Caenorhabditis elegans: one gene and its partner. The protein of the gene in region 1 interacts with the protein of each later gene in a biochemical or structural test. Each region holds a gene or a part of one and is shown on either strand. Other genes may lie near its edges.

The links.
Region 2: the proteins of mel-28 (region 1) and plk-1 interact in a test that uses a peptide from one of them, tested with the Caenorhabditis elegans proteins (one study listed by BioGRID).

Annotation. Positions count from the first base shown.
Region 1 is NC_003281.10:4,782,510-4,793,150, forward strand, and holds mel-28 (Protein mel-28), read left to right. Parts: upstream 1-3,570; 5' UTR 3,571-3,571; coding exon 3,572-3,662; intron 3,663-3,706; coding exon 3,707-3,844; intron 3,845-3,902; coding exon 3,903-4,151; intron 4,152-4,197; coding exon 4,198-4,305; intron 4,306-4,349; coding exon 4,350-5,266; intron 5,267-5,314; coding exon 5,315-5,434; intron 5,435-5,477; coding exon 5,478-5,962; intron 5,963-6,015; coding exon 6,016-6,530; intron 6,531-6,580; coding exon 6,581-6,924; intron 6,925-6,974; coding exon 6,975-8,063; intron 8,064-8,118; coding exon 8,119-8,211; intron 8,212-8,261; coding exon 8,262-8,354; intron 8,355-8,399; coding exon 8,400-8,492; intron 8,493-8,538; coding exon 8,539-8,841; intron 8,842-8,888; coding exon 8,889-9,200; intron 9,201-9,276; coding exon 9,277-9,504; intron 9,505-9,549; coding exon 9,550-9,687; intron 9,688-9,736; coding exon 9,737-9,775; 3' UTR 9,776-9,882; downstream 9,883-10,641. Other genes in the region: C38D4.10 (WRKY transcription factor 14), read left to right, coding at 17-226; enu-3.2 (ENhancer of Uncoordination), read right to left, coding at 853-987, 1,036-1,182, 1,231-1,791, 1,953-2,090, 2,205-2,552, 2,611-2,670; mip-1 (HTH OST-type domain-containing protein), read left to right, coding at 10,597-10,641. UniProt on the Caenorhabditis elegans protein: Nuclear envelope protein which has essential roles in assembly of nuclear pore complexes and in chromatin maintenance during the cell cycle. Appears to be a stable structural component of the nuclear envelope during interphase.
Region 2 is NC_003281.10:8,097,961-8,105,879, forward strand, and holds plk-1 (Serine/threonine-protein kinase plk-1), read left to right. Parts: upstream 1-3,387; coding exon 3,388-3,633; intron 3,634-3,680; coding exon 3,681-4,280; intron 4,281-4,523; coding exon 4,524-4,850; intron 4,851-4,896; coding exon 4,897-5,343; intron 5,344-5,392; coding exon 5,393-5,506; intron 5,507-5,554; coding exon 5,555-5,767; 3' UTR 5,768-6,109; downstream 6,110-7,919. Other genes in the region: K06H7.8 (Putative serine/threonine-protein kinase K06H7.1), read right to left, coding at 1-17, 130-192; K06H7.1 (uncharacterized protein), read left to right, coding at 1,367-1,441, 1,517-1,549, 1,599-1,706, 1,768-1,899, 1,945-2,151, 2,198-2,338, 2,381-2,490, 2,534-2,678. UniProt on the Caenorhabditis elegans protein: Required for oocyte nuclear envelope breakdown before entry of oocyte into spermatheca. In meiotic cells, required for spindle dynamics and probably for spindle attachment to the chromosomes. Zygotic role in the development of the germline and nerve cord.

The DNA of each region.
Region 1 (10,641 bases):
GCAAACCGCGGCCGATATGCTCAATGATATGCACATGGCGGCCAATGGAGATCTGCTTTCCAGCTTCCCACAGGATTTCCTTGAAGACTCTGGCGATGGAGAAGTTCACGAGGCGGCCATCCTCTCCGTTTTCGATGACAATTCGAATAGCCCGCCACCGTGTCCGATCGTTGTCGACACTGTACCAGACGATGATGACAGTCTCTTGTTCCCAAGAAACTCATAAATTATTTGATCTCCGCTGTTTCTTTTTTTTTTCGAAAATCCGATTTATATAAAGTTTGAACATTATCTTTATATAATGGATAGTACAACAAAACTCTCTTTAGAAATATATATATATAAAAAATATGTTAGAAACACTGAGAAGCTCACGGTGCATCGAAAAAACCTTCAAAACGACGAAAATTCAGAAGAATAACTCATGGTGCATCGACAAATTTTCTGCATTTGCAGAAAATCCCACAAAAATGAAGAACATCGAGAACAAAACTCATGGTGCATCGACTAACAAATTTTTCGGTCAAAAAAATCTGATAAAATATGATGGCAACAGACTTCCTAGAAACACCTGAATTTCGCCCGTAAAAAAATGAGTGCGCCTTTAAGAGCTACAGTAACCCACTAAATCCACTAAATCATTAAACTGAAAGTTCCTTGATGTCGAAAGAGGAACAAAATTTGACAAAAAAAAATTTATTGTCAGAGAAAAGTAATAAAAGTGAAATTGTGTGGGGAAATAAATACGGACGGGGAGTTTGAAAAATGAATGGGACTATACGAGGTCATAAATAATACAATTGTGGGGAACGTTGAGAGGAGTTGAGAGGCGGTCGGGGGCTCAGAAGAACTTCAATCGCGTGGCTTGTCCACAGTGACGACCGCTTCCGGCGCTGCTTGTTCCGATGTCCACTCCTTCTTCTTCTTCTTAATCAAGGACGGTGGGAGCGACGTATTTTCCGGGGTGCCTGGCATTGGCGATTGCTTCTGAAAATTTGAAATTTTAGATAAAAAGATCATGAGATTTAAGCTAACCGGAGTCTGGAGCTTCTCCTTGGTTGCCTTTTCGGTGACTGGAAGCATCTGAGCTTGTTGGAGCAGTGGGACCAAGTTCGTCAAATCAGTGGACACCTTCGGGGCTTTGCGCTTCGACGATTCAGCCGCCATTGATCTTCCCTTAATCTGAAAACAAAAATCGTTGTGAGACCCAGCGTGTGCCTTTAGACTTACATGAGATCCCGGTGTGAGGAGAGCGTCGGTTTTCGGCGTTTCCTTGGTGGGTTCTGGCAGCACTGTCTTCTGTTGTGGCTCCAATTTCACAGAGAACACGTCCATCTTCATGTGCACCGGCGACGTCAATTCAAGCTTCAGCTCAAGACGGGCATCGCTGAAGATCTCCTTCGCCAAGGTCTCCGATGAGCAAACGAACGGCGGTCCATCATCAAGATATCCGTGCAGGAAAACCTTCTGCTCGGTCATTTTCTCCACATGATGTTGCACGAGCTCCAAAGCGTACCGCGCCTTTTCCTCTGTCGTCACCAGCGGCGCAGGGAGATCCAAATCATTGATGAGCGAAATGAGCTCCTTTCCACGTCCCCAATTGTCGGCGATCACTTGCAAGTGACAGCTCATTGCTTCTTCCTTTTGAGCGGTCTTGGTCCGACTCTCGTATGGTCCGTTGGTCGAGCCTGCTCCGAGGGCTGGTGTGATGGGCGGGGCCACCGCGGATCGTCGTTTCTCCATCACTTTTGTGACGTTTCCATTGGGAGTCTTGCTCTCTGCTACCACATACTGAAATTTAAAACTGCGTTTTTTCAATTCTCTTTCAATGCTAATAATTCCGTTTTTACGTCGTGGCCGCGAAATGCGAAAACTCGGCCACCTTCAAAGATCTTGGCCGAGCTCTCGCTTTTTCTAGGCCACGTTGCAAAAAAATCGATAATAAAACGTACCGGATTCGCGGCAATTCCATAAGCCAACCGCTCTCGGCGTTCCTTCTCCTCATCCTCGTGCTGCTGATCGTCTTGTTCTTCTCGCTTCCTAGCCGCCATCTGCTCAGCGATGAGCTCCTCAAAATATTTCTTCTGCTCCTGAAAAGAAGGTTTCGTATGTTGAAAGTTGTCCACGTGTAGTACGCAATTCGCTTTTCATTAAATATAACTTAAATCAATAAAAAGCTAGGCCACTGGCAAAATTTCACTTACCCTCGCCTTCTGATCCTCGAGGTAGAAATACAAAAAAATGTGGAAAATGACGAAGGCGATCAGGATGCCATATCCGATGTACTTCGGCGTGTCCTTGTGAACATTGATCGTGTATGCACATGACGGGCAGTGTGTGCCGTTTCCATTTTTGCAGGTTTGAGGGCTCGCCGAGCTCACAAGAGCAAGCTGCGTCGTATTGGCGGCAGGAGCGGTCACGTTTACATTTTTCGTCGGATTGCCGGCAGGAGCGGTCGCATTAGGACTTTTTGCCGAATTGCCGGCAGGAGCGGTCACGTTTGAAGTGTTCGTAGCGGCGGAAACAGGCACATTTGGTGTGGTGGTTGTTGGCTGAAAAATGGTGAAACATTATGGTCTAGAAAAATCGAAGGATGTCTAGGCAACTCACCAATACATGAACTATTAATCCGAAGATTACCAATGAAAACAAAATACGCAAAATACGCATTTTTGAGTGACGCGTGTGTCGGAGAGAAACCGATTTCACAAACTAATTTAAGTTATAATTTGTTTATTTCAATCGCTACGTGTGCCGTGTGCCACGTGGCCACGCGTGAGTAGGGGCGGGGCCTATTTCGCAACCACCGCACACTTTTTTCGCAAGCCTCGCACGTTTTTCCATGATATTGTTGCATTTTTCAAAAGAAAAAACGTGCGAGGCTTGCGAAAAAAGTGTGCGGTGGCTGCGAATAGGTCCCGCCCCTGCATCCTGTTTTGGGTTCCTTTTTGTTTGTTTTTTTTTCGCGGATGGTTAATTTTGTTTTCGAAGAATTTCTCGTAAAAAGTTCCTTTACAATTAGTCAAATTTTATTCACTCAATAAACAAGGTTTTTCTTCAAAAAATACAAGGTTTCGCGATGCGCCTATCATTTTATCATTTCTTGAGTAAAACAGTCTTTACGCTCGTTGCTCCAAAAAATGTATGTTTCTTAAGGGTTTCCATTAATTTTTTAGAAGTCATTTGAAAATGCTAAAAAGTTGGTTTACGTCATTTTAAGTATGTGCTTCTCTTAAGATAATGATGTAATATGGATTATATTCCAATTTAAATCATTCAAATTGATTTTTTTCATTTAAGAATTCCATTCAATTTCTACATTCTTCGTTGCGTCTTCTAACCTTTGCAAGCATTTTCCATTTTCGCTTGTTTTCGCAGTCCGTATGTTTCCGTTGCGGTGTTTGCGTATTGGTGAAAACAAATTTTCCCGGTCGTTTGAATGTAGTCGGACGAGCCCTTATTTTAAGCTACGCACTTCTAAAACCACTTATTTTAATTGATAATTTCTTTGTCTCACTTCTTTAAATGTTATTTATTAGCTGCGATGTGCAAAGGTTTATTTTTTTTCAGAATGGATAATGAAAATTCGTCCATTTTCAAATCATATCAAGGATACGAGTGTTGGAGGGGAGAAAAGCAAATTATTTTGAAGGATTCAATTGGTATTTCATATTTCTATCGATTCAACATTATTCTATTCATTCAGGTCGTCAACTTCCCTACATTGTGAATTTTAAAAAGAATACGTGTCAAATATTCGATATCGAATGGGAACGCGTAACTCACTCGTTCGTTTTCCCTGAAGGATGTGCTTTGATCGATGCGGACTATTTTCCAACAGAAGGTAAGTTTTTTATTACTATCATATTTTCTTTATTGATTTCAAAATATTTTATTTACAGAAGGAAAGCTCGGAATTCTTGTTGGTGTTGAAGATCCTCGTCAGTCGTGCGGTGCCGAGCACTTTGTTCTTGCATTGGCAGTTGATCCGGATTCACCAGCCATGACAATCACACACTCACTGGAAGTTCCATCGAAAATTACAGTTGTGAAGACGCTTTTTTCGTCTGCCGACATGGCTGATGAAACACAGAGAACAGTTTTAAAGCTCTATCATCGACTGATGACGTGGCAGCATATTGTGGCAATTGGTAATAAATCAAATTTGAATGAAAACTTTGCAAATTTACATTCCAGGTTGCAAGGAGACACAATGCTACTTAGCTCGTTTAGTTGCTGTTGAGACGCCGTCAAGTCCTGTCATCACAGTTCACAGTGAGAAAAAGTATTTGATCAACCTAATGAGTAAGTTTCCCGAAGATTAAACAAATTTGATTAGTGTGTTTCAGATGCTTACGTCAGCGGTTCAGTTCTTCAGTACACTTTGGACGATGGAGCATATCGTGAATACCCAACCGCCGCCGTGTATATCTCAGCGTTATCGTTGATGCCAAGAAGTCGAACTCTTCTTGTCGGTTTATCGATGGGAGGCATTCTGGCAGCTTCATTGAATCCTTCAAATCAGATGATGCTTTTGGAATTGAGACACGAACGACTTGTCAGAAAAATTGCTCCATTAGAACCAGAAGATGATCCCGACAAATTTGAGTATTTCATCGCCACTGTTGATTGTTCACCTCGTCATCCAATCATGATTCAACTTTGGCGTGGATCTTTCAAAACTCTCGAGGATGTTGATGGAGAAGAAAAGTACGACCGTCCATCATTCAGTGTTTGTCTAGAACATAAGATTTTGTTCGGAGAAAGATGGTTGGCTGTGAATCCTATTGTTACTGAAAGAGATCATATGATGCTCACAAGAAAGCGAGGAACGGAAGATTCGATGCACAATGTTTCTCAGACATTCGGATCAACTTCTAATCGAAACTCTGTTCTTTTGGCATACGAACGAAAGAAGATGGTGATCGGCACAGAAGACCCGAATGCTGAACCAGAATACATTGTGGAAGCAGCTATTTTTGATATAGATTCATGGTACTACAAAAGAGTTCCCGGTCGAGTATCTACAGATGGAACTGTTCTCAAGCAATGTGCATTCTTATCAACTATAAAGTCTAACATCCGATCAGAAGATGTAAATGACATCGGAATTCTTACAAATGAGGCCACTGATGTATCCAGCTTCTCTAGCATGGTTTCAGACGCAGATCAACTGTTTTATCCGTCAGCATTAAGCTTCGAAAGGGTTTTTGTTGCCAAGAATACCAGAATTGACTGGATGAAGATCCAGAACATCCAGGACACGGTAAATTTATCGGCATTGAGATTGTTTTTATTCCGGTTTTTTTTTCAGATTTTGAACAAATGCGCCGTCAAACTGCCTGCTCTCATCAGGAATCCCGAAATGATTTCCAGCGTTGTTATGGCAGCTGGTTTAGTGAGAAAAAATATTCTGTCTGGATCTCCCAATTCGGTGAGCTTATTTTTTAAAGTTAAATTGATGAAATTGTTTTCAGAGCGCCGCAGAAATAAACGAACTTCAATTATCGTCTGATCAAAAGGTTCTTCTCAACGTTATCGTCTACTACGGAAAAATTGAAGAGTTTTGTCAATTGGCATCTCGTCCTGACATTAGTGACACGCTAAAACGGGAATTAGCAGAATGGGCACTTCACGAAGCTGTTGACTACAAGAGAACTATTTCTGACAAGATGGTTTCACTCTTCCAGGGAAGATCACTTGCTCTCTCTCCACTAGCAGAAGAATCTATTGCACAGGGAATCAAGCTTTTCCGAGTTGTTTACGAATATCTGAAAGCCTGTTCAAAAGCGTTAAAAGATGATCGACTTCGCAATTTGGCCCATTCTGTGATATGTATGAGAAACCATACGAAACTTACCAGCCAATTCATCAATTTTGCCATCATTCCTGTAGACCCGATCAGACAGCAAAGAATGAAGGATTTACATTCAAAGAGAAAAAATATGGCGAGAAAGAACTCGTGAGTTTAGAAAAATCCTTTTTAAGAAAAAGTTATACGATTAAATTATTCAGATCATCTCTACCCGTTCAATCAGTCGTTCGAAAAATGAATCGTCAAGCTCCAAATGCTCAATTCTGGAACGATATTCCACATGACGAATGGTATCCGCCAACACCTCTCGATTTGCTGGAATGCCTGCTGAATGTTTCGATTTCTGAGAGTATTAAACGAGAACTCGTTGTCCAATATGTCATTGATTGGATTTCCACATCTCCTGAAGATTCTGAACACAGCGAAAAACAATTGGCACTTGAAACTATCAAAATCATGACAAATCAAATGCTTAACGTTAACTTGGAGAAAATTTATTACATTCTGGACCAAGGAAAGAAGGCTTTAACAAGCAGCAAGACATCGGATGATATGAGAGCACTTGGAGAGAAAGTATTCTCAATGAAAGATGACGAGATTAGTTATGAGAAATTGTGGGGAAAAGATGCTCCGATGACAGTGACAATCGGAAAACACGATTTACAGCGATTTGAACAACGAATGAAAATGCAAATGGAAGGTGGAAAAGTTAGATGTGAGATAGATTTTCAGTCTCATTTCCAATTAATTTTTTTTAATTTCCAGTGCCAGTTCTCGATCCGGAATCTGAGATTCTCTACCAAATGTTTCTCTTTGAAAACGAAAAGTTTGAAGCAATGTCATCAGAAGCGATTAGTTCCAACAAATTGCTATCGGCTTTCCTGCCAGGAATGATCAAGAAGGATGGAAGAGGTCGTCAGAAGACTGCGAAAGAACAGGAAATCGAAATTTCAGTTAAGAAAATGTTTGAGAGAAAGGTGCAAAACGACGACGAAGATATGCCTGAAGTTTTCGCTTCTGTCAATGACAAAACAGAAAGAAAGCGGAAATCAAGTCAGTTTGGTGAAGACGATGAGAGTAGTGTTTCGTCATCACAATATGTGCCACCTGTAAGATTATTGCAGTTAAATAGTACAAACCAAGATTCTGAAATTTACAGACCGCGAAGAGAATTCAACAGTGGAAGAGTGCCGTCGAATCTGTTGCCAACAATTCGAGTATCAACAGTATCACAAGTCCGGATTCTCACCAAAATGCAGAAATCAATATGATGATTGCAACACCGGCACGGTATTACAAGCGACATAATGAGGAGGAAAATGTTCAAGATGGATTTCTATCGCCCGCTGGAAACAGACCGCCGCCAGTCTCTGCTCACAACAGTATTCTGAAAACAGCTAAAGGTGGCCAATCGGCTAGTCGAGGCCGTATCCGATTCCGTGCTGACGTTCCAAGAGGTGCTGACGAGAGTATTGAAGACAATGGTCGGAAAGGCCTTGCATTGAACTTTGCAATTCTTGAAGATGAAGAAGAGGAAACCATGACTATTAGAAAATCACGGTCTATGGGAAAACATGACGAGGAGAAGGATTCAGAGAAAAATGTAGTGGATGAGATGGAAGAAGTAAAAGATCAAGAACAAGAAAACGATGAATGCATTGAAAGTGAGAAAACTTTCGAAAACCAAGACGATTTCGAGGTTCTCGAAGATACATCTGCTCCAGAAGCTGCAAATACAGAAAATGGTTCGGAAACTCCTCCCATGGAAGATACGTTTGAAGTACGAGATGATGACGTCATGCCACCAACCGATGAGACATATTTGAGTCATTTACAAACCGATAAAACGGGTATTCTTGAGGAGGAAGGTGAAGATGAAGATATATGGGATGGAGTTCAAAGATCTTTCGAGGTTCAAATGGATGAGGATTGTGAAGCTGTACCAACGATTGATGTAGCCGATGATTTGGAGAGTAAATCTGAAGAAGTGAATGAAGAAGAGGTAGTTGAATCTGAAGAAGTTCAGCAAGATGCGAAAGAACCTGAAAAAACTGAAAAACGACAGGAAGAGCCAGAACCTGAAGTTATGCAGCCAGTGATTCCGGAAGAGCCTCAAAACGAATCTCTCGAATCGTCTATTAAACTGCAGGAAGAGTTACAGGAAGAGCCTGACATAGTTCCGACAGGTGATGAAGATACCGCGGATAAAGTTCAAGAACAAGCTGTTGAGGAAGATAGACCACCATCTGTAAGATACCATAAAATAAAATTTGAGGAAAAACGGCAATAATTGTATATTTCAGAGAAACACTCGCTCATCATCTGTCCAGAAGTCTACTTCACAAGTGGAAGACCGGGATCCGAAAGAACTTGTCGAGGAAGAAAGACCTCCATCTGTCAGTTTCGTCATCAATTTGACAGACAGAAATAAAATTTATGTTTTCAGAGAAACACTCGTTCTGCGTCTGTTCAAAAATCATCTAACCAAGAGAAAACTTCGGAATCAGGAGAAGTCACGGAAGAAGATAGACCACCATCCGTGAGTTGTTTTTAAAATTTGAAATTTATATGTGTATTTTTCTAGAGAAATACGCGGTCGGCATCTGTTCAAAAATCTTCATCAAAGGTAAAAGACCAGAAGCCAGAGGAACTCATCGAGGAAGATAGACCTCCATCAGTAAGTCTCTCGTGATTTCTTTAAAAATTTAGTTCAATATTTCCAGAGAAATACTCGATCCGCATCAGCCCAGAAGACAGTGGCAGCAAATAAATCTGTTTTGGAGTCTGAAATTCCAAGTCGTTCAGCGTCACGAAGAACTCGCTCCACATCGCTTAGGAATGATACTGTTGCCGAACCAGATGAGACGTCGGTTGCGATGACAACTCGGCGTCGGACTCGGGCAACTTCTGAGGTTGTTAGCAAGCAGTCGTCTGAAGATGATGGAAGATCGACACCAAAAACCGGAAGAACTCCCACGAAAAAGGCTGCAGCTAGTACATCTTCTAGTAGAGCTGGAAGTGTAACTGTACGTTGTTTAATCGTTTAATCATACAACTATTCGAACATTTTCAGCGCGGTAAAAAATCGATCATCCAAAAGATGCCATCCCCGCTAGAGGTTACAATGGAAGTTCAAGAAGAAGAAGAAGAAGAAGCGGAGGAGGAACGGCCTGCATCAAGAAGCACTCGCTCTGCATCTGTCAAAAATACAACTGTTGACCCATCGTCATCTGCACTTGCTTCTACCAAACGTACAACTTCTAGAAAGAGGGGCAATTCGGAAACGATCGACTTTAATCAGGACGACAAATCGGCACCGACGACGCCAAAAAGAGGAAGACCCGCCAAAAAGGATGCAGGATCTCCTAAAGTTGGAAGTAAAGCTGTAAGCATTTTTAATTATTTTTTTGAATTAAAAATGTTGTATTCATAAATTGTAAATTGATTTGTTTTCGTTTCAGCGTGGCACCAAGCCTAAATCGATATTCGAAAATCAAGAAGATGAAGAAGATCGTTCATCCTCTCCAGATATCGAACAACCAGCCACACCTACACGGTCTTCCAAACGAACGGCTAGATCCAGAGCAAATTCCGAATCGATCGATGATGATAGCAAGCAGAAGACCCCAAAAAAGAAAAATGCCGCGGTTAATGAAGCTGGTACCAGTAAACAGTCTAGAAGTGTGACGGTATGATCCCAAAACATAATTTTTTTTCAAAATTATTATTTTCAGAGATCTCGAGCATCATCTATTGATGTACAACAAGAGGTGGAAGAGCCAACCACTCCAAAACGCGGAAGAGGAAGACCGCCCAAAACCGTTCTGGAAAATATTGAAGAGGGTGAAGAAGAGAGAAAAGAAACGGCTGCGGTAATATTTTCAGCAATACGATTTCTCAAACGAGGTGTTTTATTTTCAGACTCCTCTACTGCGTTCAGCTCGCCGTGCTAAACAATAGAGGTCGAACACAGCTCAAATTTTAACTATTTGTCCTTATTTATTTTATTATTTGAAATTCTTCAACTGACACATGTGAAATAAGTTCCAATAAAATTGTTTGGCATTAACATTGAATTGGAAATAAAGCAATAAAGGTGCATAGAACGGAGAGTTCAGGATGGCGTTATAGTTTTTAAATTTCAAGCAACAAATTCGATAATTTAATTTTAACTGGAAAATGTGAACGATTGTTCCTAGCATGCGAAACAGGTGTTTATACCACATTTAAAAAATTTCCAAAACGAAGCTCTGCAGAATTTTTTCTAATTTCTCGTGGTAATGATGAATTATTATTTAATTTTGTTTTTTAATGCACCAATAAAACGTTTTTTCGTGTAGAAAAAAGACGGCATTGTTAAATATATTCTTCACTGCAAAAATCCAATTTTATAAAAACTAATTTAAATCTTTCGAAAGGTTACTGTAACAGTCATTTGCGTGTGCATTTCTACGCAATATGTGGCGCCAAAAGGCTTGTCCTAAAATTCGGCTACCCATTCTAAATAAAATGATTCTTCGCAGTTGTTCTCTGTTAACAGCTTGTTTTTTTTATGTTTTGATGATATTTTCATGTTAAAATAATAATTTTAACGTTGTTCATAGACGTTAGCATGTAAGGACGATCTTGACGTATTGTAAACATCTGTAAAATTAGTTATCCGTGCATCAGACTGGGTCTGAGTCTTTTTTACAATTTACTGTAACATTTTTGTATCTTTTTCACGTTAATACTTGATCAAATTGTAAAATGTTCTCTCAGAAGTGACATTCACTTGGCAAATGACGGAAGCTGACGATCCCAAGAAGAAAATACGCGCGCGCATC
Region 2 (7,919 bases), 3.3 Mb from region 1:
CCTAGTTTTTGAACGACCTTAAGTACTCTTATAGATCAACTAAATTTTGACATTTTGATTAATGCCAGTTGGCAGGACCAACTCACTTACTAAACCACCATAATCTACGCGCAAATTCCCGCAACTCACCTTGTATCTTTTCCCGACAACCGCTCCAATTTCTAGCGTCTCTTCACCAACGTCTCCCGGCATTTTGCGCTTGAATTGAAAATACTACTTGATACTACAAAACAGATCAAGTGAATTTTGAAAAATGAATCAAATAGCCAAAAATGTGGACACTTTGTACGTGTGGATTTAATTGAAAGTATAAATTTTGGAATGAAAAGTTCAACACGTCGGTCACAAGGACTTTTTATTGTTAAAGTTTTGGTAAATTGCCAAAATTTTCAAAAATGTTCGAGCCTTTAAAATGTTGAAATACAAAAAATTGGAACGCAATTAAAATATTTTTTTTTTTTGCCCGACTTCCAAATGTTATGACAGGAGAACAATGAGTTTTCACCACTTTATGGCTGAAAATAAAAACATTTCAATAATTTTTTTAATAGTTTACTATGCCATTCGGAAATTTTAGCACTATGAAACTGTGAGGTGCCAGTAGTATAAACTTCCAGTAATTTTGGTTGTCAGAAAGCAAAAAGTTAACTTGCCTGCCTTCGTGCCTACCTTAAATGTTTTAAAGCGTCATTCTTTGAAATTTAAAAAATGGTTCATTTTTTGAACTCACGAACTCTAGACTTTTCCTCTATTAAAAATGTTCCCATATTCCTTATAAACGTGCATTTTTTCATCTCTCTTCCGCCTCTCAAACTCTTTCAATTGGCTTCACTTGTTGTCGGGCGGTCTCTTCAAGCTACTCATTGAGCCATTTATACCTTCATCTGTCTGGACTTTCTCTTCTCTGTTTCATTATTTTCTAAATTTCATTTCCTTCTTTCTCTTTTCTGTTAGAGTTCCTTTTTCCTGCTGCATAATTAGTAGGTTGTCCCACTTCAATTTTCGATATCTCGTGACTCGCCGCGGCGCCGAGGCTTTACGTTTTCAATTTGAATATAAATATTCATTTTTGACTCACAGCTAATATATAATTTGATAGAGATTCATTTTTCAAAATACCACATAATTTTAGTTTTTAACCCAATCTTTCAGATTACCTAGATGTAAATATTTACAACAACTTTCAATAGTTGACGTAACACCCTTCACAGACATGTTTATTTGGATAGTTCTTCCATTGTTTCATCGTTTTTTCTATTCAAATTAATCAAAATCCAATATCCTAAACCCTTCGCCTTTTTTCTTAATCGCCGACCCACTGGTGAACAAACATTCAGATTCATCTCTTTTTGGCACATTTCAGAAAATGTTGCAACCCAATTTTCGTCGGTTTGAACCTTCTTACAGCTGGAAGTCTCGGGAAAAATCTACTGAAAATCGGGTTAGTTAAAAACTTTAATTAATTTAACTTTTTTTAATGGTAGATTTGCTATTCAAGAAAATTTACTTTTTTAAGGGATTTCTATCACGGATGTGTGGAATTAAACAGGTATAGTTTGACTCGATCTTTGCAATAAACTAGAAATTTTTTCATTTAGAAAATGAATAAATACAACTGTCGTGGGAAATATCAAGAGACCAATGACCAGAATTTAATGCAAGATTCAGGATATTCACTGAAAATTATAAGCTCTGGTGATGAACAGGTTTTTAAATTGAAAATAATCACATTCCTCATAATATTTTAATTAAATCATAAATTTTTAGATTACAATTGTATATACAAGTCGACTAGGAAAAATGAAAGATCTCCAAGTTCCGGAGATTGAAATTTCAGGAGTTCTTTTGGAAAGATTGGAAGCTTGTAATTATAGGCTTGACGAGCTTTTTATAGACTTGGTAGTTAAAAAATTAATCTGAATTCCGCGTATTTTGATATTTCAGAAAGCAAGCAAATGTATTTGTAGTTCGAATGAGCTTTTGAACATTCCAAAAATCATCGTTAGAAGGCTTTTTCTAAAAATGGAATCTCTGGAAATGTTGGAGTGGTGGATTGAAAGAGTTGATCCGAACTCTCTAAATGAGCTGTGTATTGCTCCTCATGGAGAATATCCACTTGATATTCCGTCCAAGATATTTGATCTTCCACATGTAAGTATGTTTATTTTTGAATATTTTTGGTACAATACATTTTCAGTTCCAAAATTGCAAAACACTGAGTATTATGGAGCACTGTTCTTTCTCAACCGACCAATTTCTAGCATTGTGTATTGCAATTCCAAATTTTTCTTTTTATTCGGACAGAATTGATGAAAATATAGTTGCTCATGCGATAAAGGTATTGAAAATCATCATGGAATGAAGAATTGTTATTTTTCAGAAACGTCTCAGCTTAAATGATCAATTTGTTGTCCTAGAATGGTTTTTCACTAAACACGTGAATGTTGAAAAAGTCACAGGAGATTTGAAGTGTACGAATTATGATAGAAAGTGAGCAGAAAACTGATGTTAGGCAAACTAGAATTAATTTCAGAGAGCGCTTTGATGTCAAAACTGAGTGCTTCGAGCCAGTTGATGTATACAGTGTTCCAGATGAGAATAACAAGAAAACGTCCTTGCTGGTTTTGAAAGATTCAACTGACAATTTCAAACCGTATAACATTGTTGCGTTTTCATAATTTTATGTTTTGAGATGCCGTCTTGGAAATATAGTGTTTTTGAAGCTAAATATCCTATCTCATGTATTAAATAAAATTGTTATAGTATCTCTTTCCATCCATTTTAATCGTCAAAGAAAGGCGTGTAAACCACGAAAACTTACCACTAATCCAAAAAGAGAAGCTGCCTTCTCTCCAAATGACGGTAAGACGTGGAAGACACGTGGTAAAAATGTATTACGTACGCCATAAAATATACGTATTAATCCATTTAAAATTAATTTTTCTTTTATTAACATCTGGCATCGTTTAACACACGTGCAAATGTTCTGTTACAAGCCCAAAAAGGTTCGTTGCTAATTTTTAAAACATTAATGTACAAAATTATTGCAGAAAGTACATTGAATAATAAATTTTTCAATTTTTAAAACCGTTTTTTAAATCAATGTCTCCGTGATATTTATGTTTGACCAGAAAATGTTTGATCGATGACAGCGCGCTGTTTTGTTTAGCACCCTTTTTCATCGGCGCGTAAATCGACACACGGTTCGCTGCGAGACCTGCGCCCGCCAAGCATCAACATTCGAATTTGCCGTCCGCCATTTTCGTCCTAAAATGACTTTTACCGATTCTTTTTCAAGTTTCCAGCTCGCCTCTTGTCATTTTTAGAAATAAAAACGTTTATTCAATTATTAATACTGAATATTTTAATTTTTGTGTTGCATTTCAGATGAATCGACTTCCCAACATTGCAAAACCCCCACAAAAGTCCAACCAAAGAAAGGAGAAGGCTCCACCAGAGGTTCCCGCTCTCATCGCCGACAAGGATCGTGGGACCTATTATGAGAAAGGACGATTTTTGGGCAAGGGAGGATTCGCTCACTGTTATGAGCTTACGAATCGAGCAACACGCGAGGTTGTCGCTGGAAAAGTGGTTCCGAAGTCGATGCTCGTCAAGCAATACCAGAGAGATAAGGTAGACAATGAACGAATCTTAGTTCAGTGCATATTACGATTTTTCAGATGACACAAGAGGTGCAGATTCATCGAGAGCTTGGACACATCAATATCGTGAAGTTATTCAACTTCTTCGAGGACAATCTCAACGTGTATATCACTTTGGAGTTATGTGCAAGACGGTCGCTGATGGAGTTGCACAAAAGAAGAAAGGCGGTCACCGAACCTGAAGCTCGTTATTTCACTCATCAAATTGTGGATGGCGTGCTGTATTTGCATGATCTGAACATCATTCATCGTGATATGAAGCTTGGAAATCTTTTCCTCAATGATGATCTAGTTGTCAAAATTGGAGATTTCGGATTAGCAACAACGGTCAACGGTGATGAGAGAAAGAAAACGTTGTGTGGAACGCCAAACTACATAGCTCCGGAGGTTTTGAACAAAGCTGGACACTCATTTGAAGTTGACATTTGGGCAGTTGGATGCATTCTGTACATTCTTCTTTTCGGACAACCACCATTCGAGTCTAAATCGCTTGAAGAGACATACTCACGCATTCGCCACAACAACTACACCATTCCGTCGATCGCAACACAACCAGCAGCAAGCCTAATCCGCAAGATGCTTGATCCTGAGCCAACACGTCGTCCGACTGCCAAGCAGGTAATTTCAATAGTTTTGAACTGGAGTGAAAATCATTTTAGTATTATCGGAGATTCGAGTTTCATCATTAGAAAATTTGTACTTTTGAATTTTATCGTGAACTTTTATTGAGAGATAGTTCACGTTCAGTTTGATTGCCCTTCGTTCTAATTAGTAAAGAGATCGAAAACAATTTTTAAAAAATCAGTTCGAATATTTAAATAAGTTATGAAATCTCTTCAACTCGGAATGAAAACCCTACAGGTTCAACGCGATGGCTTCTTCAAGTCAGGATTCATGCCGACTAGACTTCCAGTCTCCTGCCTCACTATGGTGCCAAAGTTCGGAGGACACGAAACTTCGATGATGGAGGAAAATGTTGCTCCAAGAGGGGTTGATGCTCGTTCACAACGCCCATTGAACGGAAGAGCTGGATTGTCTGCCCTCCCACAACACATCGTGTCGAACAATGCCGATCGTGAGCGTGCTCAACAACAAGCTGCAGAGGCGACTTTCCGGGAGCCCGAGGATGCATACCTTTCACAACTTTTCCACCAAGTTGCTGTGCTCTTAGAGCAGCGTATTCCAGGGGTAAGAATAAACAAGAGGTTTTTTTTAAATTAAAAGTTTGTTACAGCTGGAAGAAGAAGAAGCTGCTCTTGATGGTTATCAATCACCAGAGTGCCTCCCGGTTTTCTGGATTTCGAAATGGGTTGACTATTCGGACAAGTATGGCATCGGATATCAACTATGTGACAATTCCGTCGGAGTTCTCTTCAATGACAATTCTCGTATCATGCTTGATCAAGCTGGAAACGAGTTGACCTATATTGAGAAGAGCAACAAAGAGCACTACTTCTCGATGCACTCAGGTGAAATGCCTGGATTGCTCAACAAGAAAGTCACATTGCTTAAGTATTTTCGATCCTACATGAATGACCATTTGGTGAAAGCTGGAGAAGGATCTGAACAAAGAGCTGGTGATGACTTGGCTCGTTTACCAACGCTTCGAGTTTGGTTCAGAACCAAATCAGCAATTGTTTTGCACCTTTCCAATGGAACTGTTCAGATAAATTTCTTCAATGTAAGCAAATTCATAATTTAATGGAAACACCCAACAATATAATTTTCAGGATCATGTCAAGATGATGATGTGCCCATTAATGCAAGCAGTTACATTCATCGATCAAAACAAGCGTATGCTCACCTACAAGCTGAACAATCTTCAGCGCAATGGATGTCCAGAGGTTTGAATCGCCATTTCAGTATCAACAAATATAACGTATAATTTACAGAAATTCCTTCACCGACTGAAGTATGCGAAGACAATGATCGAAAGGTTGATGAGCGATGCTAACGTTGTATCCCAGAATCCAGCTCGTCAACCGGATATGCCACGGTCAATGGCAGCTGCTCGTTCAGCTTCGGCAGGATCACGAGGACCAAATCAAGCTGCATCGCACCTTCCCCAGTCGGCAAGTGGATCCAATATTCACCCACGTCGATAGATCCGTATGTGCTCTTTGCCACTTCCATGAATTTGCTTACATCTCCTGATTAATTCCAAGAAGTATTATTCTATACATTTAACCCGTACTCTTCATTTATTGTTGCTGTTTTTCATCGACCCTTTTAGTCCCATGTTTCAGCATCCAACATGTCTTTATTCCCCGTCCTCGATCTCCCGTAGCTCATTTCATTGTAAATACTGATGAGACCCGCTGTAGCCCTTTTTCATTCGTTTGTATTCATGGGCGAGGCGATTTTTATTTTGCGTTTTTATTTCTTTTTGCTAATTGAATCATCTTTTTTTGGTATTAGTCCCACGAAATAAAACGTACCGATGATTATTAAACTGTATTCTTCATTTTTCCAAACTTTCTCGACAATTTCATTTTTGGTAGATAGCAGCACATTGGGAAAAATCAAGTTGAGCTGCTCATCTGCCTCAACTTTCCATTTCAGAATTTTCGAAAAAGCGTGTATAATATTTACTGATTCCGAGACAATTATTTGAACATGATTGTTACAAAGATCACGGTCGCAAAGTAACAAATGTTCTGTTTAATTACTTGCCACTCTGAACAGTTTCCGTCACTTATTTTATATCCAAACAGGTTCGATTCCAAATAGTCTCAAATTATGCCAATGGGATCTGCTTTACTGTAACAGTTGGACATAAACTGTTATATGAAATCAAAAATACAATAGTTTAAATTGTTTTTGCTCTCTGCTTGAATTTTGGATTTCTAGAGATCTAGAGCAGAGCTGAGCAGCCGGCCAAAAAAATCGGCGATCGCCGATGAAATTTTTTTTTCGGCGATCGCCGATCACAAATTGCCAAAAAAAAATCGGCGATCGCCAATTGCCGATTGCCGATCAGTGTGCGTCTAATTTTTTTCAATTTTAAAATCCTAATTTTAAGAGCTCTTTCAAATAATTTTTTATAAAAACAGGAATATTAGGCAACGAAAAGCACTCCTTGATACCTTAAAATTCGAAAAGTAGTGAAAAATAGTCCGAAAATATACCTTCTTCCTTCTTCAGAGGGGTCTATCTTGGACTATAAAATTTCATCGGCAATCGCCGATCGCCGACCCGTTTTTCCCTTTCGGCGATCGGCGATCGCCGATTGCCGCTCACCCCTGATCTAGAGACCATCGATAGCGCATCATCGTCAGACCTGCCTCTTCACCTATGCGTAGGTAGACCTACGACCACCGTTTGATCAACCACAGATGCGTCTCGTCCACAGTAACTCGTTACTTTGTTATATTCTTTTTGATATAATATTTTCCCGTTTCCTCTCGCCCTTGTTTTGTTGGACCCAATGTCTATTTGTTTTGTTGGTCCCATCCCCTATAAAAGGCTTTCTTGGATGTTTTTCCCACGTTCTTATCTTTTTATCCCTGTTCCCTAAGCCCTTTCCCCTTGTCGTTGTTTCTTGTTGTTCCCCTCATAAATTAATTACTTATATAAGACAACTTTTACTAAGCAAACGCAAAGTTTAAAGATTTTTGCGCCAAAAATACAGTACCCGGTCTTGACACGACATTTTTGTTAAATACAAACGGAAGTGCGCCTTTAAAGAGTACTGTAATTTCTAGCCTTAGTTGCTGTGGGATTTTCTTCGATTCTTCGTGGTTTCTCTCACGATTTTTGTTTAAAAAAATCTAAATATGCGTTTTCAGTTGTTTTATTTTAGTTTTGTAATATATAAAATTTTTTAAATGAGAAAGAAAAAAAAAAAAATTTTTAAATGAGAAAATCGACGAAATTCCGCCGTAACATTCTACTGGTTGCATATGTAATCCTGAATAAAAAGTCAAACATTGAAAAAAAAAACAAGAAATAGGATTGAGAAGGATCTTGTCGATTCCTTTACAATCAGGTGTATAGTTTGATTCTCTCGATTTTCCACTAACATCTACAGTTTGAACTTTATCTTCAAATTCGAGGGGTTTCGGAATGAGGGAACTGAGGGGAACCGGTCTAATTGAGAGATTTCAGAGAATGTTGCATTTCATGTTGAATGACGCTTCTTCTTCTTCCCCTTTTTGAATGAATAACAACTGTTGTCCAAGAAAACGCCGACGGACGACGCAATTGATGGATCGAAGGAGGGTGAATCCGTGTCGCCGCGGAAGACGGTTTGCCATT